Arabidopsis thaliana: one gene and its partners. The protein of the gene in region 1 interacts with the protein of each later gene in a pairwise test. Each region holds a gene or a part of one and is shown in the gene's direction. Other genes may lie near its edges. The genes, in order: TET2, RABA1c, PGPS2 and AT4G30660.

The links.
Region 2: the proteins of TET2 (region 1) and RABA1c interact in a protein complementation assay, tested with the Arabidopsis thaliana proteins (one large-scale study listed by BioGRID).
Region 3: the proteins of TET2 (region 1) and PGPS2 interact in a protein complementation assay, tested with the Arabidopsis thaliana proteins (one large-scale study listed by BioGRID).
Region 4: the proteins of TET2 (region 1) and AT4G30660 interact in a protein complementation assay, tested with the Arabidopsis thaliana proteins (one large-scale study listed by BioGRID).

The regions. Positions count from the first base shown.
Region 1 is NC_003071.7:8,470,919-8,476,927, reverse strand, and holds TET2 (tetraspanin2), read left to right. Parts: upstream 1-1,774; 5' UTR 1,775-1,906; coding exon 1,907-2,100; intron 2,101-2,185; coding exon 2,186-2,492; exon of another isoform or gene 2,493-3,323; intron 3,324-4,223; coding exon 4,224-4,535; 3' UTR 4,536-4,794; downstream 4,795-6,009. Other genes in the region: ACO1 (ACC oxidase 1), read left to right, coding at 1-3, 104-689; CDA1 (cytidine deaminase 1), read left to right, coding at 5,425-6,009. UniProt on the Arabidopsis thaliana protein: May be involved in the regulation of cell differentiation.
Region 2 is NC_003076.8:18,556,879-18,561,861, forward strand, and holds RABA1c (RAB GTPase homolog A1C), read left to right. Parts: upstream 1-2,181; 5' UTR 2,182-2,439; coding exon 2,440-2,660; intron 2,661-3,331; coding exon 3,332-3,761; 3' UTR 3,762-4,067; downstream 4,068-4,983. Other genes in the region: AT5G45740 (Ubiquitin domain-containing protein), read right to left, coding at 97-167, 246-365, 449-571, 1,177-1,219; AT5G45760 (Transducin/WD40 repeat-like superfamily protein), read left to right, coding at 4,243-4,350, 4,453-4,549, 4,640-4,701, 4,791-4,853, 4,939-4,983. UniProt on the Arabidopsis thaliana protein: Intracellular vesicle trafficking and protein transport.
Region 3 is NC_003074.8:20,394,303-20,399,606, forward strand, and holds PGPS2 (phosphatidylglycerolphosphate synthase 2), read left to right. Parts: upstream 1-2,294; 5' UTR 2,295-2,557; coding exon 2,558-2,738; intron 2,739-3,046; coding exon 3,047-3,144; intron 3,145-3,224; coding exon 3,225-3,275; intron 3,276-3,373; coding exon 3,374-3,487; intron 3,488-3,574; coding exon 3,575-3,631; intron 3,632-3,721; coding exon 3,722-3,922; 3' UTR 3,923-4,351; downstream 4,352-5,304. Other genes in the region: AT3G55020 (Ypt/Rab-GAP domain of gyp1p superfamily protein), read right to left, coding at 329-411; GSTL2 (glutathione transferase lambda 2), read right to left, coding at 4,416-4,514, 4,611-4,718, 4,806-4,882, 4,973-5,075, 5,175-5,273. UniProt on the Arabidopsis thaliana protein: Catalyzes the committed step to the synthesis of the acidic phospholipids, including phosphatidylglycerol (PG). Together with PGPS1, required for the proper embryo development by providing PG accurate levels.
Region 4 is NC_003075.7:14,952,949-14,957,249, forward strand, and holds AT4G30660 (Low temperature and salt responsive protein family), read left to right. Parts: upstream 1-2,430; 5' UTR 2,431-2,521; coding exon 2,522-2,611; exon of another isoform or gene 2,612-2,861; coding exon 2,862-2,996; 3' UTR 2,997-3,052; exon of another isoform or gene 3,053-3,212; 3' UTR 3,213-3,223; downstream 3,224-4,301. Other genes in the region: AT4G30640 (RNI-like superfamily protein), read left to right, coding at 1-86, 194-734; AT4G30650 (Low temperature and salt responsive protein family), read left to right, coding at 1,455-1,544, 1,619-1,750; AT4G30662 (uncharacterized protein), read right to left, coding at 3,235-3,582.

The DNA.
Region 1 (6,009 bases):
CAGGTAAAGTAATTAAGAATTGAATAGTACCAAAGGCTCTACCATTTTTACCTGTTTGCTTATTTAACTAAACAATGTGAGAGGGTGAAATTGATATTTGCAGCAAGACGATGGATGAATATGTTTGTCAACTGCACAAGTTTGCAGAGAGACTCTCCAAGCTCATGTGTGAGAATCTTGGTCTTGATCAGGAAGACATAATGAATGCCTTTTCTGGTCCAAAAGGTCCAGCTTTTGGAACAAAAGTGGCTAAATACCCAGAATGCCCACGTCCTGAGCTTATGAGAGGGCTGAGAGAACATACGGATGCTGGGGGAATCATATTACTCCTGCAGGATGATCAAGTGCCTGGTCTTGAGTTCTTTAAAGATGGGAAGTGGGTTCCTATACCGCCATCCAAGAACAATACCATTTTTGTCAATACCGGTGATCAACTAGAGATACTGAGTAATGGGAGGTACAAGAGTGTTGTTCACCGTGTAATGACAGTGAAGCATGGAAGTAGACTGTCGATTGCTACGTTTTACAATCCGGCTGGTGATGCCATAATATCTCCAGCTCCAAAGCTCTTGTATCCAAGTGGCTACCGTTTTCAAGACTACCTAAAGCTTTATTCAACTACCAAGTTTGGAGACAAAGGCCCCAGACTTGAGACCATGAAGAAAATGGGAAATGCGGATTCAGCCTAGGATGCATCTGGAATTTGACGCTTCTGTACTCACATCATAAAAACTTTGTCTTCTTCTTGTGTTTCCTTATAATTTAAATAACCAGCCATGTCAGAATCTTGCTGATTCAGCTATACTACTTCACTCTTCTTTCTTCACTTCCACTTGAAAAGTTCCAAAGCCAAACTGAAGCAGTCTCATCAAGCTCTGTGTCGAACTTGAGATTAGACAAAGAGCTTGTAATCTAAGCTCTAAGATTGACAGTCAATTTCATGATTTATAAGATGTAATTCAACTCTTAACGTAATCCACAACTCCGCCATCATCTCTTTCCATATTCTCTCTGATTTGACTCATTTCCTTCCCAATTCCTAGAATCAAACAAATAGCATTTCTATATCAGCATCTAAAACTGAAAGCTAAGTGTGTATTGACTCAAAATTCTTCTCCAATCGCAATAAAATCGAGATGAGAAAAATTCATCCATATGTTTTGGTTCACACATTCTATCGAGCAGCTTGTGTGCAATCCCAATCCTCTGAACCAAAACAAAAGCTTATCTCTTGACCATTACCCGACATTTCACTCATCAGCCAACGACAAATCCTGCTCCGAAACCTCTAATGCTTGGAAAAGAAGAAAATTCCGATTTCCGAACAATGGAACTTACTCCATTTTGCATTCTCTGTCGAAAGTAACATACGTTCAATGCAAATGACCCAAAGTCGTCGGTGCCACGTGGATAGTTCTCACTGGTTGATGCATTCGGTAACTCGCAGAATGGAAGAATATTAACACAAAAGGCATCTCGCGTATCCACGTGTCCCGTTCAAGATTCCAAATTCTAAACCAAAAGCCGGTCCGACCAGATTAACAAGTTCTCTTTATTACATCACAACCCAAAACTTGTTCAAAACCTAACTTTTCATTGCTAAACATATTTTATTCTGACATTCACATGTTAACTTTAATCCAATATCTAATTCTTTTTTCTTAAAACCACCGTTGTCGAAAAATCCAAATCAGCAAAATCAGTGATTAACCGGACCGGACCAAACCGAACATCGTTTTCTGTAAATAGCAGTAACTGGTTTCACACATCCCATCATCTCTAACCACCGACCTCATAAGTCATTAAGACAAAAACAGAGACACTCCTCTCACTCTCATTATTTCATTTTCTTTCCATAAAAAGCACGAATCTTCAAGAACAAAGAGAGAGAGAGAGAGAAAATTTAATGGCGTTAGCGAATAACTTAACGGCGATACTCAACTTACTAGCGTTACTCTGTTCCATACCAATAACGGCGTCAGGTATATGGCTAGCTTCAAAGCCAGACAACGAGTGTGTCAATCTCCTCCGTTGGCCCGTTGTCGTCCTCGGCGTTCTCATCCTCGTCGTCTCCGCCACAGGCTTCATCGGCGCCTACAAGTAAGAATCAAAGAACTTCAAGACTTTGAAAACATAGACACAAATTGAATCATAAAGATGTAAACTTTGAGCTCTCATATTTCAGGTACAAGGAAACTCTACTGGCGGTTTACTTGTGCTGTATGGCGATATTGATCGGACTTTTGCTGGTGGTTCTTATATTTGCATTCGTCGTGACCCGGCCCGATGGATCGTATCGGGTTCCGGGTAGAGGTTATAAAGAGTATAGGCTTGAAGGGTTCTCGAATTGGCTTAAGGAGAACGTTGTGGATTCCAAGAACTGGGGAAGGCTAAGGGCTTGTTTGGCTGATACTAATGTTTGTCCTAAACTCAACCAAGAATTCATCACCGCCGATCAGTTCTTCTCCTCCTCTAAGATCACTCCTCTCCAGGCATGTTCTTTCTTCTTTTATTCTCTTTTATAAAAAGAACCCCGAAATTTCTAGTTTCCGGTTTAGGTTTGGTTTAGAGGTAAATCTAGACTAAATATCGGTTATGCAACTATGCCAACGAATCATTGTGGGTTTAATTAGATATTATTAGATGATTAATGGAGATAAGATACGAAGTAAAGAGAATGTTTTGTAAAATCTCTAGATTATGTGAGACCTACGGTTTGTTCTTGCCATAGAAAGATAGGTTATTTTTTCTTTCAAAAAGTAAAGTATGTGGTTTTAAATCAAAAAGTTAAAAAATTTCTCTTTAGCTTTTGTGAAGATGTCCAAAAGAGAATTGTTCTTATTCTCTATATTCTTTTTTTTTGTTTTGCAGCTTTAAGTTATTTCGTTTTGGATTTCCTCATCTTTGAAAAAACTAAAAAAATATTTTCTGACTTAATTAATCTTATGTTTTCTAGTGTTGGAGAGAAACCTACATTAGCTTTCTTAACGTTTCGCAGTTAGTGCCATTTTGTGGTAAAACTCATAGATTAGGCATATGTAATCACCATTATTGAACACATATTTATTCCTAGTAGACTGGTGTAGAAGTTGCTGGAGACCAAGTCCACAAGATTATATAGTAAGATAGTCAGATTTCAAAATTATACACTATCATAAGGACCCACCCATGCACCCACAATATGGTACATGATAAACTATGTTTTATCTGTGTATTAATTATATTTTTCCTTTGTCACTATCTCACTCATAAAATTCAATGATCCCATTCACTTTAGATAGTGTTTTTCGTGATCACAACTCAAACTTGACAAAATTTCCTACTTTTTCTATTTAATTTTATTAATTAAAATCACTCTTAAAATTCATTGTCATGTCTTTTATGTCTTTTAAGCTTTAAACATGGAGAGATTAAGGGTGATTTAAATAATTTTATTCCTAAAACTTCTATAGCAAGTTGTCATCCTAGTCCATTGTCACTGTAACAAGATTGGAACCACTAATAATTAAATAAGCCTAGATGCTGAGGTCTCGACTGAATTTTAAATCTTTTAGTCATTAGACATTATTAAATATTGGACCAATGATTTGATTCAATAATTACGATCACAAGTCTTTGTCTCCATCATGAAACATAATAGATAATTATATCCCTCCCATGTTGCCCCACTCACATTATAATTTTTCTTATTGGATAAATTAGGACTCAAGAAAAAATAAGTTTATTTCTAAGAAAGAGTTATACAATTTCTCGTCCTCGAGACAGAACCAAAATTTACTCATAAGTAAAAGAAGATTATTCTGTGATAAGATTCAACATGTTTTTTCATTTTTTTTATGTACTTTCATACCAAGCAAGCAATTTTTTAGGTTTCTTGTAGTCGTTTTATTTTTATAGCTTTCAGACTAAAACTAGTGTTTCATTGTTTTAGGTCTTGACTCTTGAACTCTTGATTGTTTGTGTTTGCCTTTAGTATATACTTTTTTTTTCTCCACATGAACCCATAATATTAACCATGTTAAGCAAAATGAAATTTTTGTTGTAAACACAAAGGGCAGACGCAAATGGTAGCGTTTGTGTTTACAATGTGTAAATATTTTTTACCAATAAAAAAAAAGTGTAAATATCTTTAAGACTATGATTATCATATTTGAAAACATGGTTAAGCATATATTTGGTCAAATCTAATTATGACAATTTCTTGAACATTTGTTGTTTTACAGTCCGGCTGCTGCAAACCACCAACCGCATGTGGCTACAACTTTGTGAACCCAACACTGTGGCTAAATCCAACCAATATGGCTGCAGACGCAGACTGTTACTTATGGAGCAATGACCAAAGCCAGCTTTGTTACAATTGCAACTCATGCAAAGCTGGTTTATTGGGAAACCTTAGAAAAGAATGGCGTAAAGCAAATCTCATACTTATCATCACAGTCGTTGTTCTCATATGGGTTTATGTTATTGCTTGTAGCGCGTTTAGGAATGCTCAGACTGAGGATCTCTTCCGCAAATACAAACAAGGTTGGGTCTAAAATGTGTTTGTGTCTATAAATTTGTTTGTAGTTTGTTGAGATTGGAGTTTTCGGAAATAGCTCGTCATATTATGATTTCTTTGTGTGTGGAAAAGGTTTTTTTCTTTTTATGGATTTTGTTTCTATGTTTATCAGTTTATGTTCGACAAAATGGCACTTATCTATGTAAACAAACAACTGACCCTAATTGGAAAACTGATTGTTGTCATAGAGTTTTCTCAGTTTCTTCTATTAAGAAAAACTTAACCGTTGGTTAAAACGTAATTATCAACAAAGACTTCTCTTTTGGTCTGTGACGTTGATTCCAACGATAAGAACAAAACCTAATCTTTGTTTTCTTTTGTCAACAATAGTACTATCACCTTTGTTCTTAACTATTTTTTTGGGAACTTAAAATTGACAACACCGGAATTAAAATGTTTAATACTATCAAAATTATATGAAACTAAGCTGTCTTTTAGCTATAGTTTAATTCATTTCTGACCTCTAAAATAATATTATCCGGAGATTATTGTAGTTTCGTAACGTGGTTGATGAAACTACTAGGTGTTTTCTTAATTAGACCACGATTTTAACATTACGTTACACTAATACTCTATTGCATTTTTGGTAGTTTTCATAACAATGATTCCATGCGGCTTAGTCAAACCGAAATCATATTATTTGTAAATTCAATTCTGATATAATTTTTCTATTTTGTACCAAACGTAAACCGAAACATAACCGAAACCGAACCAAAACTTCATTTGCGTAATGTAGTTTCCTACGTTGTTGTATCTATAAATAGTTTGTTTGTCCAGCATCCATTTCATAATTCCTCATTTCCCGGATCTCTCCCATCTAAAAATAACCCGACCCATTTACGCGACCCAAACCGGATCAACCCGCAATGGATAAGCCAAGCTTCGTAATCCAATCCAAAGAAGCAGAATCCGCCGCGAAACAACTCGGCGTTTCCGTCATTCAGCTCCTCCCGTCGCTAGTCAAACCAGCACAATCCTACGCTCGAACTCCGATTTCGAAATTCAACGTCGCAGTCGTCGGACTCGGATCATCAGGTCGGATCTTCTTAGGCGTCAATGTCGAATTCCCAAATCTCCCTCTCCACCACTCAATCCACGCCGAACAGTTCCTCGTCACCAATCTCACACTCAACGGTGAACGTCATCTCAATTTCTTCGCCGTCTCCGCCGCACCATGTGGCCATTGCCGTCAATTCCTCCAAGAAATTCGCGACGCACCTGAAATCAAAATCCTTATCACCGATCCAAACAACTCCGCCGATTCCGATTCCGCCGCCGATTCAGACGGATTCTTACGTCTCGGAAGCTTCTTGCCACACAGATTCGGTCCCGACGATCTTCTCGGGAAAGATCATCCTCTTCTTCTCGAATCTCACGATAACCATCTCAAAATCTCAGATCTGGATTCGATTTGTAACGGAAACACCGATTCATCCGCCGATTTGAAACAA
Region 2 (4,983 bases), on another chromosome or scaffold:
ACTATCAATTGCAAAAAGTATTGAATATGAGAGACTTACTTCAACTTCTAGTCCTCTTCTACTACTTACTAAGTATTGTGTCAATGTTCTTGGAAGTTACTGTCCTTCCTCTCGAATCAGATTCGTGGGCTCACTTAGAACGTACCTAGGAAGCTCATATCTAGCACCTGCATTGAATAAGAGCAAGTCATTAAGGTAACAAAACAAGAAACGAGAGAAACGAATCAGAATTGTGTATTACAAACCTCTTTCATCCCAGCACAATGTTAGGTCACGGTTCTGAACAATCACGCCTGCACTGTCAACAATAGTTTGTGCTAGTTTCAAGTCAGCTTCAGCAGCAGCTCGAAGTGCTTCCCATATCTCTGGTTTTCAGTAAATTTCGCTCAGTTTCCAAATGTACATAGTGCGATGCAGCAGATTACAAGAAAGAGAGATATATATATACCTCTTTGACCACCATAGTGTGGAGAGGTGTCCCAAAATTCCTCACGCATGTTCGTAAGTTGTGCCCTTGTGATTGGCTCAGTATGTGCCCACGGTTTAGGTTTCATGATTTTCTTCCTTTTTGCTGTGTCAAACGTACAAAACTCATAAGAGAATGATACAATATAAACTACCACCAATTTTAAAACAGTTCTTTCAGTAACACCAATATTATAGCCATCTACTTCAGAAGATCATCACAGTTTCAATTTCATCAAGACAACAAATACAGTATAAGGCAGAACGAATCAGATTATATTGTCTATTGTTCACAGAACAATTTTTCTTGGTAAAAATGGAATGTTATAACATTAGTAAACGGCCATTTCATTTCAATCATACCATCGATAACAACTTTCTCTGATCCAACATTCTAATTCTGAGCAGTAGAAACAATGTTGAAGAGCATTCTAATTCTCTGCTGAACTAATTCTGAGCTTCAAAATTTGGAATCTTTAACGAATCACAAACATGTCAACACCACAATAAACTGATATTTCCTTCGAAATCACTCCAAGAATCATAACATTTGCAAGATTAGTTCATGTTAACACCTCAAAACTAGAACTATCACCAAGAATCAAAACATTACAACACAAGTATAAATCGTAGCCCAAATTCTGAGAACAAATTCAGCGAGACAAACGGAGTGCGGAATTAAAGGTTTAAGAGAGTATCGATTCCACTAACCTCCGCCTTCATTTCTGGCCTGAGAAGATCCGATACAACCCATTCTCGAACCGTTGAGAGTCGCGTTTGATTAGGTGAAAATTGGAAGTCGCTTCGAACAAGTAAAGTAAATGCCAGTACAAACTCGACCGTCGGGAACGAAACGGAGAAAGATAGCCGCCGATAAGAGTTTCACGGCGGGAGAATCGCCGGAGAAGTCTGCAAGAGTCGTCTTCAAGGTCAAATTCTGTTTTGACTGCCAAATTAGGCCATGAATGTTTTGTTGATTTTGGTGGGTTTTTGGATTTTGGATTGTGGCTTTTGGTTTTTTGTTTTTGATTTTATGAGTTTTTGATTTTGGTGGAGATTTTAGATTTTGCAAAATCTTAAATGGTAACTTTTCTAGTTTTTGATTTTTATATAATTATTATTTAGAAACGTTTTAAAATTATTTATTTAAAACTTTATTTTTATTTTTAAAAACAAAAAAAAAAGAGTTTACGATAGAATTTGTTGAAAATCCCAAAAAAGTGAATTTTGGATTTTAAGAACAAATGACTAGAATCTTTTAAATTTTGAATTCCCTATAATTTAGGAAATTAACTTTTTACAAAATCATGAATGGATGAAAAAGTGGATTTTGTAAAATCAAAAGCCAAAATCAACTTTAAAAACTAGTACCATTCAAGGCCTTAGTTTGTTAGAGAGAAGAAAGTGAAAACAGATCTCCCCGATTTTATTTATAGTCACTTTACTTGCCACGTCATATTATTCTGGATTAGTATATTATATCTGTTTGAATTAATCGTCAGCGTCTGTAGTCCAACGGTTAGGATAATTGCCTTCCAAGCAATAGACCCGGGTTCGACTCCCGGCAGACGCATTCTTTTTTATCATTTTAATCAGTTTAGAAAAACATAAAAGATAAAGACAAATGTGAATTGACGAATACGTCCTCGTCTTTATCGAAGCGAGCAAGGTAATAGATCAGAACGCGTTAACAGGGCAGTTTAGTAAATTTGGCCACACAAATGTTAGATTTCTTTGTGATAAAGACAGTACACAAGTCCTTTGTCTTTCTCGTTTGATATTTTCCAATTCCGCGTCTTTCTCTGTTGAAATCGAAAAAATTTTCAAAACAAAATCTAAGGAAAAAAGAGCAACAAGTTTCAAATCTCATTTGGGTTTTTCATTTTGAAAAGAAGGACCCATTTTTATCTCTCTCTTTGTTTTGTTTTCTCGAATCTGAAGGAGTAAAGTTAAAAGCTTTGAAGGAGAGAATCAATGGCGGGTTACAGAGCAGATGATGAATACGATTACCTATTCAAGGTTGTTCTGATAGGTGATTCAGGTGTGGGCAAATCCAATTTGCTTTCACGATTCACGAAGAACGAGTTTAGTCTCGAGTCAAAATCCACGATCGGGGTCGAGTTCGCGACTCGGAGTTTGAATGTTGATGATAAAGTCATCAAAGCTCAGATTTGGGATACTGCTGGTCAAGAAAGGTCTCATCTTTTTCAACCACATTGTTCATTTCTCGATCTGGTTTCTTATATTAGAACATTTTGATTGAAGTTTTGGGGTTTATGGTTTTGTTTGGTTGCCAAAGACAGTAAATTTTCAGCTTAGGTTAGATCTGTATCAATTGATTTAGATCCATTGGTATTGATCACTTTTATAAGAAGAGATCTGGATTAGTATGTGATTTTGACAACTTGGGTTTTGTGTAAGATAGGAGAATCCTATGATTATGATTATAAAGTTATCAGCTTTATCAAATTTCTTCTGTTGTTTTTGCTATTTTAGGTTTATGTGAGAGAGCTTGATTGGTTTCAGTAACTTCATTTCTACGATTCTTAGCTCTTCTTTCTCAGATTTCACCTAAGATTCTTCAATCATTATCGATTTCTTCTGTTGTTTTTGCTTAGTTTATTTATGTAAGAGAGCTTGATTGGTTTTAGTTGGATTCTTAAACTTTCATTTGAAGCTTTTACTTGGTCTTAATTTCAAAATTGAAAAGCTTCTTGCTTTGTATGATTTGCTATTCTCCATTTCTCTGATCAGTTTTGTAAAGCGTGCATAGTCTGAATTCGAAACTGTAAAGCTTCTTGCCTTTTTTGTGTTCCTGATGTTTCGGTTAACTTAATTCTCTGTTTCGTTGACTTTGTTTCAATAGGTACCGAGCCATCACTAGTGCGTATTACCGAGGAGCTGTTGGAGCGCTTCTTGTCTACGATGTAACCCGACACTCAACATTTGAAAACGTTGAGACTTGGCTGAAAGAACTCAGAAACCACACTGATCCAAACATTGTAGTCATGCTCGTGGGCAACAAATCTGACCTTCGCCATCTCGTGGCTGTTCAGACTGAAGATGCTAAGTCATTCGCCGAGAAAGAATCTCTCTACTTCATGGAAACCTCGGCTCTCGAAGCCACCAATGTTGAGAACGCTTTCGCCGAAGTCCTCACTCAGATTCACCACATTGTGAGCAAGAAGGCGATGGAAGCTGCGAGCGAATCCGCTAATGTTCCATCGAAAGGAGACAAGATCGATATCGGTAAAGATGTTTCAGCTGTGAAGAAAGGTGGATGCTGCTCGAACTAATCAGAGAGTAGAATTATTGTTAACAACCTAAGGATCGGTTTTTGTTAACGGTTCTATCGAATATGAAGATTGCTTTTAGGTTGAGTAATGCCCATTTGGTGTATTTCTGTTATTTATCTGATCTATCAATGTTATTGTTTGAAAATGCTATGTCAAATTTTCAGAACCCTAAATTATATTTATCTCAAACAATAGAATTGTTGAAAAGAAAAGATAAAAATAGTTTCTGCCTTTGATGATTTCAGTTTGGTTGAACATAATTTTCGGTTTGATTTCGTTTCACCGTATCGGTTCATTTTGGTTAAGTGGTACTAAAATCGATTTCTGTTAGGTTGGAATTTTGTTGTTTCGATTTTTTTGGTACAAAACCGAAGGATTACCAAAATATCCGGTTTAGTTTTGGTTTGTTTCGGTTAGCCTTTTTTAGCTCAATTTAGAGCTTGAAACTGAGCAATCGCCGGAGAAACTCTCACTCACAGTTATGGCTACGGCAATGGAAGAGCCAAGGAAGCTGAGAGGCCACAAATCAACTGCCACTTGTTGTATAGCTTCTCGTGACCGGCCTGGAATTGTTCTCACTTCCGGCGAGGTTTCTTAATCTCTAATTCAAACCTCTTTTTTCCGATGAATTTAGGTTTCGTTATTGTAGTTACTTCGCAAGATTCATAGTTTTCCGATCATACGATTATAGGATGGTTGCATTTGCTGGTTTGATTTGCGATGTAAAGATGTTCAATTCATCATCGATGTTGGAACAGAACCAGTTTCATCTCTTTGTTTCAAGACAGGTTTTGTCTCTTTGTGTTTTGTCTGTTTCTCTCTCTTTCAATTTCTTCTCTTTGTTGCAATTTGGTGATAACTTTTATTTGATTTTTCAGGTAATGAGAACATTCTCTATGCTTCTTGTGGAAACGAAATCAAGTCTTTCGATGTTCATACGGTAATTTAAAATGTTCAAACTTTGATTAACTAACTATAACCATATCCTTCACTTAGTTTTAAAGCTTCTCTCTTTATGCAATTTCATAGCTAAGTGCTACTTCTTGGAAGCCATTAGAGAGTTACAATTACAACAAAGATGAAGTTAACCAGGTAGAGATACTAAAAACTCGACTTTTCGAAAAAGTTATCATATTTACCTATGACATTGATGTTGACATCTTTTGATTTGTTAAAGGTAGTATGTAACGGAAGGTCGTCTTTTCTTGCTTCTGCAGATGAT
Region 3 (5,304 bases), on another chromosome or scaffold:
AAACAACTCGAATTTGCTATCAAAGACTACCTTCACTAACGATTATGCCACATTGAGAACAATAGTCACCACTGGACAAAAATCAGCATTCAAATCCAAATCACTAGGATGTACTTCAAATCAAGACCAATAATCATCAAAATCCCAACTAAATTGTTAAGAAAATGCAAAATTACGCTAACAACAAGACGGATTAAAACTCTCGTAATCGGAGATACAACATTTCGCTCAGCGAGTCTAGCAAAAAGCTAAAGAGAGAAGAAGCGCAAGTTCAAACCAAAAAAGAGGAAGCAGAAATGTACAGGGGAAAGGGGGAAAAACGCGAAACCTCTTGTGCTCAAAGGCGACGAGAGGATTAGAAGGCTTAGAAGCAGCAGCAGCAGCAGCGGCGGCGGCGGCAACGCTCCTCATTCGTTAGCGTGAAAAAGAGATCTAACCGGTGAAGAGTTGGTGAGAGGACGAAGAAGAAGATCCAAATCTCTACGCTAGTTCATCATTACCCGAATGAAGTTGAAGCAGGAGGAGGAAGTTGCAGTAGAGAGAGAGAGGAAGTGGAGAAATCACATGGAAAGGGCGAGATTGTCGACCAAGGTTTATTACATGTGTGACTCTCTCTCTCTCTCTCTCTCTCTCTCTCTCTCTCTATTTTGACTGCGTTTCGATTCCTTGACACTGAGTCCAAAAGGTCTCTTTCATCTTTCTCTCATTTTTGTATATCTTTTTTACTCCTATCTTTTTAACTACTTACTGATTTTGTATGTAAATGTGAATTTCACAGTTGTCTTCCAATATTTTGCTATGTCAATTTTATCTTCAGATAATTTGATTGAGTTAATTATCTTATTTGTAAGACCAAAATGACAATTTGATGAAAGAAAAATCATATCCTTATATCTAATTTTTGTGTGGTTGTGCGAGTCTATATCAACCTACTTTGAAAGATAGACAAAGTTGTTATTAGATATGGGATTAAGGACATCTACGTCATGTATCATCCTTATAAGATTCAGTTTAAAGTACGAACGTTATTAATTTGATGTATGTGTAACAAGCGTGAACGTATGGTTTACCATACCGTATTCAATTTGTAGCGCGACCATGGTTGGTCTTTAATTATTAACCTCAAATAGTCGAACTTCAAAAAAAAACTAAACACATTTACCAAAATCTTTGATTGATGAGATTCATTTTTAACCCTAAAAAGATAGATATGCAAGAAAATAATTGTGGGGATTGTAATGGTTGTCGATTTGTCGGTAAAGGACCAATTGCTTTAGGAGTTGGTAAAGGACTTTTCTAGGGAATTAAATATGTCTTTAATTTTTTTTTATTTTTTTTTAATAAGTTTTTCTTAGATTCGCTAAATCCATAATCTAAGTATTCACCATATTAAATTTAATCAAGTGGGAAATTTCTATCATATATTAATTAGAATTCTTATTTTAGTTACTAATTGTTTGACTCTAATAGAACTTTCATATATGTAGTTAATAGTCTCACTCTTTTTTCCTTTCAATCACACTTGGCAAACTTAAGAGAGGTTTACATAATTGTGTTAAGAGTTTTAGGTGCAAAATCAATAGAAGATGAAACAAATATGAAAATCCAGATTTGAGAAATTATGAAGAATATCCACCAATGGCTAGTTGAATATATACACAGTTATAACTTTAGTCAATTCAATGGTTTAAATATTATAATCTACTATTTCGTGTACTGTATATTTATTTACCTATATACGTACGTGTATAATTTGGAGTTTTGTTTAGGGGCTAGTAAGGAGCTTAAATTCTTGTTTCTATAATACTCTCACGTTCTCAAACACTTGTTTACAAAACCAAATATTCGTCGGTTTGGGTAAACCAACACAAATGATTATATGGTTGTTCATTATCACAATGATTATCTTCCAAATGTGCACCAAGTTTTTGTTAGTGTTTTAGATTCAATCATGGAAGTATGGAACCACAAACGTACGTAAGAGGAAGAGTGCAGCACATAATAGAAAAGAGCAATGGCCAAAGAAGGCATTACAACGAAATGAGACTTGGGATTTGACACACATCAACTCATGCAAAAGGTTGTAGGTAGCGAATGGGTGTTGAAGATTAACTATCAAAGTGATGACTCCATCGAACAATATAAGTTGAGATTAGTAGCTATATGATATATTTTTTTTGGTGGGAAGTAGCTATATGATATTGATTCATGCAAACATACAACGAAGATATTAGTTTTACATTTTTAACAAATATATAAAATCAAAATCAGCTAAGAATTAAAGAGAAGGCCCAAAACGTGCCATTTGCTTCATTATCAATCGTCCATATCAATCCAAAGTCGACGATTATCGGCGCACGTTACGCACCCGGCTCGCTTATTTTCATAGTTAGCGCACGTTAGCATCTCTCCCAAGCTGCATTATTATTGGCCGTTGTGTGACTCCCATAAAGGCTTAGGGTTCCGGATTCAGGTCGGTGTCGCCACCGCCCTTCTTCGTGCTTCTCTTCCTTCTTTGTCGGATCGTCAGGTTTACAGATCAGCTCTTGTGGAGGATATGGGTGAAGAAGACACCGCGACGGTGGATCAGAACAGTTTCGGTGGTGGCAAAGATTCATTGCTTCGTAATCGTCATTCGTCGCCATTGCCTTCACCGACACAGCTTTCTTCTAAAGTGATTACATTGCCTACCGTATTAACCCTTGGCCGTGTAGCTGCCGTTCCGATTCTCGTCGCCAGTAAGTTTACTTTTTTCGACTCTGAATTCTGGTTGGAGTCATTGTACTTGTTCGGTGTGTGATAGGAGTCTAATCATCAGATCTAAACGAAGATGCAATTGCGATTTTTCCAGATCAGAGTTTTGTTGGTTTGAATTCGAGAAATTCGACAACTTTTTTGAAATTGAGCTTATTGCTATGTGTACTTCACTTGTTACCACTCTTCAAATTTAATCTGAATTGGATCTTTTGATGTTCAATTCCTGATTTTGATTGTTTTATCTCCCATTGCATTATCTTCATCATCTCCTTTGGTTTTTGAAATGTAGCCTTTTACGTTGATTGCTGGTGGGGAAGAACTGCTACGACAAGTATTTTCATTGCAGCAGCCATTACAGATTGGCTTGATGGATATATTGCACGGAAGGTAACTTCTTTCTTTACCCTTTCATGTTCTTCTGCATAGTTGAAATTGTAAGCTTTTAACAGTGAGACGTGCCTTTTCAGATGAGATTGGGTTCTGAATTTGGTGCATTTTTGGATCCAGTGGCAGATAAGGTCAGATACCTTCTTCCTTAGCTACCTCTATCCTCTTTATCTTTTCTCCACCAGAAAGGAATGATTTTTATCATTCTGATTTATGTCATTGGTATGCGCTTATGGTAGCAGCTACATTGATATTGTTGTGCACTAAACCAATGGTCGCCGTTGTCTTAGGACCAGTTCCATGGTTAGTGACAGTACCTTCAATCGCCATCATTGGTAGAGAGGTAAGATACAGAATTCTGATATACCGTTAAGTAAGTTTCACTTATCAGCTTTCTGTTCTAAACTAGTCGGTATACTTTTCACTGTAGATTACTATGTCTGCAGTAAGAGAATGGGCTGCATCTCAAAACGGCAAGCTTTCAGAGGTAAAGTTATCACCATCATGTGCGTTCTCTTGGATCTGTTTTCGTAAGTGTTCCTTTCCTAATCCATGGAAATGGCATTGATGTTGCTAGGCTGTTGCTGTAAATAGCTTGGGAAAGTGGAAAACTGCAACGCAGATGATAGCGCTAACCATACTTCTTGCAAGCCGGGATAGCAGTTTTGAGAGACTATTACCGTCGGGTATTGGGTTGCTCTATGTATCTGCAGGGCTCTCTATATGGTCTTTAGTTGTTTATATGAGGAAGATATGGAGAGTACTGCTAAAGAAGTAGCAACAAAAAACTCTTTTTTCGGGCTTTTTGCATTCAGTATATACACATAGAATGGAAGATTTACCTCTCTTCTTCTTGAAGAAAGCTGACTAATTTCTCTCTGGATACAAATGAAATTAGTTGGGCAAGCACTATAAGACTCTTATATGATGCTTTAGTTCTGTTTTCAACTTTGGGCACTGGGGTCGTACTCTACTTGGTTTGGTTTTGTATAATATCTCTGAATCACATTGCTCCGGCTAGCACCGAATTTTAATGAAGCAGCAAGCACGATCTTATGGGCAATGATGGAAAAGCAGCAGGCGCAATTTCGTTCTAGTCGAAGACTTGGTCTCATGAATTCTGATATAAATGAAAACAATTGTTGCATGTCATGTAGATGCTTTTACCGATACAATATAATTTATATATATAAAAAACTTTGGTTACAATATCTCTTCCCATTTGATCCTTCTAAACCCTTGTAAATGGAGATATCCGGAGAACCATCTGGTTAGAGACGTGCTTCTGCTTGGACTCGTCTCTTGTATCTTTCAACAAGCTCTTGTGGATCTTGACGGGTTTCGGTGTAAGCTTCGATTTTGTTCATCTCCTGCATAAAAGCAAAGAACCAGAGATTAGCATGTGTATGGGGAATATTTAGCCTTAGAATGAAAGGTAGTTACAAATGTCTAGGTAATAGCTTAACCTGAATCCAAAGGGCAAGGTTAGGCCGACCAGATGTAATATCGACGTTCATCACATCACTTAAGATAAGCCGAAATCTCTCTATGAAAGGAGCATATGCAACATCAACCTATAGAAATAAACACCATTTTTTTTCTCAGCAGCAAGAGTTGATATGGGTATGGCAAATTGAATATAGAAATATAATCGACAATACCAAACTAAATTGACCAAGAAAGAAAGGCCCTTCATTGAATTTGGAAAGAGCCTGCTCGATGTAATCAAATGCAACATCTGAAAAAATGAAAGACAAGATTCATACACATGCCAACATAATGTATCTGCAAACACAGAAGTAAGATAACAACTTCATCTTCTAATCACCTGCTGCATTAGTGTCAGTGCCGTTTAATGTGGATCTTACAGCCTTGGAGAAGGAGTCAGTGTAAGAGAGTAACTCATCAGCTACAACTTGCTTCTCTAAACCCTGTTATTATTCCATCCATGGATATCTCTCTTCTAAGTATAGGTTCACTTAATGTGTTAAAATTGAGCTCAATAAATCAAAGATGTCATAGATACTCACATCGGGTGTAAGCGAAGGCCCTTCAAAATTAGTGTCAATGTACTTAATCAGATCAAGGCTCTCTCCCAATACTCGGTTATTGTGCTCTAATGCAGGCACCTGCATATAACAGAGAACAAAAGCCATAAAA
Region 4 (4,301 bases), on another chromosome or scaffold:
TCTGTTGTTGATCGGAGTGAAGGAGGTCTCACAGAGATTCGGATCAGGCATTGTACAGAACGCTCTCTATCTTACGCCGCCGAGAGGTACGTATCACTTTTCGTGATAATTCTCAGTTTTAGCTTGAGTCCATAGAGGTTAATCGCAGAGTTTTGATAGAATGAATAAAATGTCATGTGGTTTCCATTTGCAGGTGCCCTAATCTAGAGGTACTTTGGATAAAGAACTGCCCAAATGTTACAGATGCGTCAATGGAGAAGATAGCTATGAACTGTCCAAATCTTAGAGAACTTGATATAAGCTACTCTTATGGCATAACTCACGAGTCTCTGATAACATTGGGGAGGAGTTGCCAAAATTTAAAGATTCTGAAACGGAATTTGTTGCCCCGGCTAGGTCCTAGCCTGCCAACAATCGTCGCGCCACTAGACTATCTGGCTACATTTCCTAGATATGGGAATATAGAGGCTAGAATAATTGGGAAATACATGACACAGCTCAAGCATTTGGAGATTCGATACTCCACATTGACTGCTAGAGGACTTGACTCGGTTTGTAAGGGATGTTCGAATCTAGAGTACATGGACTTACGCGGATGTATATCATTGACCAGAAGTGATATAAACACTAATACGTCGGGCTTGAAGAATTTGACGGAGATCATTAAGCCGGATTTCAATCCTCCGATTGCTGTTTTACGCGTTCCAAGACCTGGTAATCCAAGAGAGGAATGATGGTGTTTGGTTTTTGTTGGACGCACGTTTTGATCAACTTGTTGACCGGTTTTTATGCTCAGAGCTTCCTCTATGGCATTTTTTACTCTGTTCTTATCTATGTTTGAATTCCTAAAACAATGTGAAACCCTTTTTCTTTGTGAGTTTGTCTTGTCACTAAATTCCCAACTTTTGGTGTGTTCTATTAATATTCTTCATTGCTTTAGGTCTGAATCATAGTGTTAAGTGAAATAAACATTGAGGGAAATGGGTTAAGTAAATGTACTGAGATAGCTTGCCATCTAAGCAAGCAACAGAAAAATTGGGCTAATCAAAGTCCGGTCCCGGAAACAATAGAAGACAGGCCTTCTAGGCCAACTTAGTCACGTGATCCATTAACCGTACGATAAGGGGGCGAGTCAGAGTAATAATATCCCACAATGATCAGGTGTGTTGTGTTGCACCATACCTTGCGTGTTCTTGAGATGAAAATATCTAAAGAGTGGGGGCAAGGTAAGGTAATTTTACGAGATGTCGGCATGTAAGCTGAAGCCGTACGATTTATATACCAAACAAATAAACGGTGCAGATCTCGTAGTTGACTTGGTAGCGCCAAAAATAAAAAGCCGTGGATTGCTCTTTTAATTGGATCTCTGTGCTACCGACTACTTTCAGTGTTCTCTTCTTCTCCACTAATTCAGATCACATTCAAGAATCTTCTTCACTCACATCTCTGAAAAAATGGCGAGCAACATGGAAGTTTTCTGCGAGATCTTAATCGCGATCCTTCTTCCACCTCTTGGAGTTTGTCTCAAACGTGGCTGTTGCACTGTAAGTTATTGGAATTTTGGAATCATGAATCTTGAGATTTAGTTTAGAAAATCTGACTCTTAGTTTTTTTGCAGGTAGAGTTCTTGATTTGCTTGGTGCTGACAATCTTAGGATACATCCCAGGGATAATTTATGCACTATACGTGATCGTGTTTCAAAACCGTGAAGGCTCTACCGAACTTGGAGCTCCACTTAACTCAGCTTGATCTGTTTTGGTCCATTACACGGATCAATATGTTGTTGAAACTGTTTTACTTATCATGTACCAAATAATAAGTTGCTTTGCAATTTTTATGTATTGAAGATTTGAGAACATTGTCGCGTTATTGATACATTGCTTATCTTTTTGATGTATAACTTGTTGGCTTTTGCAAAGTCAGGCTACGGACCTTCCTAAGAGTTAATGTATCAAATTCTTTGCCAAGATTGTATTTACCGGAGTTTAAACTTCGCAAAATGCGGAAGCATTTTTGAGTTTGAAAGGATTTTGTATGATGCCAACATATATTATGGTATAGATTATGCTAAAAAAGATAGATTTCTGTTACTTTGGCAAATAATGACAATGATTGTGAGTTGAGGAATCAAAGTCTCAGTAATACGACACCGTTTGAGTCAAAACGTTTCTGTCCAATTCCAGTCTGGTCCCGGGATTAATAAAATAGACAGGCCTTCCCAGGCCCATTTAGTCACATGGATGAGTCAGAGACTAAAATATCTAAAAGTGATCTGATGTGATAAGGGTGCACCATATCGTTCGTTGTGATTCACGAGATGTAATCTAAAGCCGTACGATTTAAATATCAATAAATGAACGGTGCAGATCTCGCACATTGACTTTGTAGTGGAAACAAAATAAAACGTGGACTGATCTCTCTTCATTGGTACTCTCAACTCTGTGACAGCAAGTTTCAGTGTTTTGTCTTTTAAAAAAACTCTTAAAGCTTCTTCTTCTCTCATCTCATCTCTCTGAAAAAATGCCGAGCAACTGTGAGATTCTGTGCGAGATCATTATCGCGATCCTTCTTCCTCCTCTCGGAGTTTGCTTCAGGAAAGGATGCTGCACTGTAAGTTCTCTCTCTCTCTCTTTCGAATTCCTCAATTTTGAAGAATCCTGGAACTTCTTATAGAGACTGTAATTTTGGATTGATTATAATGTAATTTGGTATGAGTAATGAAGGGAGTGCTTAATCTATGATATGAATCGCAGAAATTCTCTGGATTGGATCAATTTATGTTTGATTCATTGATTCCTGAAAGCTTGGATAATCATTTGAAGAAAGTTGAATTTTTTTTATGTGTGGTTTGTTTTGGCAGGTGGAGTTTTTGATATGCCTGGTGTTGACGATCTTAGGCTATGTCCCGGGGATAATATATGCGATTTACGTGATTGTGTTTCAGCACCGTGAAGAGTACTTTGATGAATACAGACGCCCCATCTACTCTGCTTGATTTCTGTTTCTTTGGAACTGTGTTGCTTTGACTTGTACCAATAAAGTTGCTTTGCAGTTGTTTTCAGAGATTTGAAAACGTTTGTGTGTCATTTATATGCAATATTGAAAGTTTCTTCTGTTATCAGCTTATGAACCCTCCTGCTATGTGTGCTTATGCATCAGGTTGTTGACATAGTGTTTTCGCAAGGCACAAATTAAATTATTAAATTGAAAGGTTAAAAAAAAAAAGAGTTTAATTAGAAGGCGAAGAACATCAACAGAATTGAGCTCGCGACCGTGGAACCGTAGCGCAATGCCATCGAGAGACAAGGTCGACTAGTAGCGGATGATCCACCCGCACCATGACCACTACTGGGGACACGACGGTGGCTACGACCACCACCACGACTACCACCACCAACACCACCAAAACGAGCTTTCCTCATGAAAACTCGAAGAGAGTCATGATGATCCAACGGATTGGAGTCACCGTGTTGTGCAAGTCTTCGTTCACTCTCCTTATTTTCAGATGAAATTGGCAAAGGCTGAGAGAGTAACAATAGGAGTACAATCAATGAACAAGAAAATGCCAGTGAAGTCCTCATTTCTGTTTTATCAAATAATATGTGTGTATATACATGTATCTGATCGAAAAAAATCAGAAATATGTGTTAATTTTACAATGATGGGACGCATTATGTGTGCAAAAGAATTAGTATTTATAATATCGCTAGGCTTAGGTAACGAAACGACCATGGCTTAAACATGGGCTACTTCTTCTTTGAAATGATGTTTAATACTATTATTGTATTTAACTATTGGGATACTTATTACTTATTAGCAAAGAAACTTTCCTTTTGCCAGCAACAAAGAAAGTTTCCGAGAGGCAAAATCTAATTACGTAAGGGAGGATCATGATTAATTAAGCCTAATGGGTAACAGACCCAAATGTTATTATTTATCGTTTTCTTATGTGAAATGGAATTTAGTGAATTTCCAACGTAAGGCAAATAGTGGTCGAAGGGAAATGGTGCCTAGTAGTTAGTTCTAATTGTAACTGAATTTGATTGAATTCATGTAGTAGATGTTTTAAAGAGGTTGTTGTTAATGGTAAGAATAAACAAAGGAACAATGTTCACTATACCTGCATTCTCTCTCCACTCAGTCTTCAAAATAATTGATCGTGAGATTAAGAACACTATCACCGCCAAAAAAATCAAAGGGGTCACTTCTGAAATCTTATGGCTGCGATAAACTGGCCCGAGATTTTCCCACATAAGTTTGTTTTCTTGTTTTTTACTCTTTTTTTTTTTTGGCCAAGTAC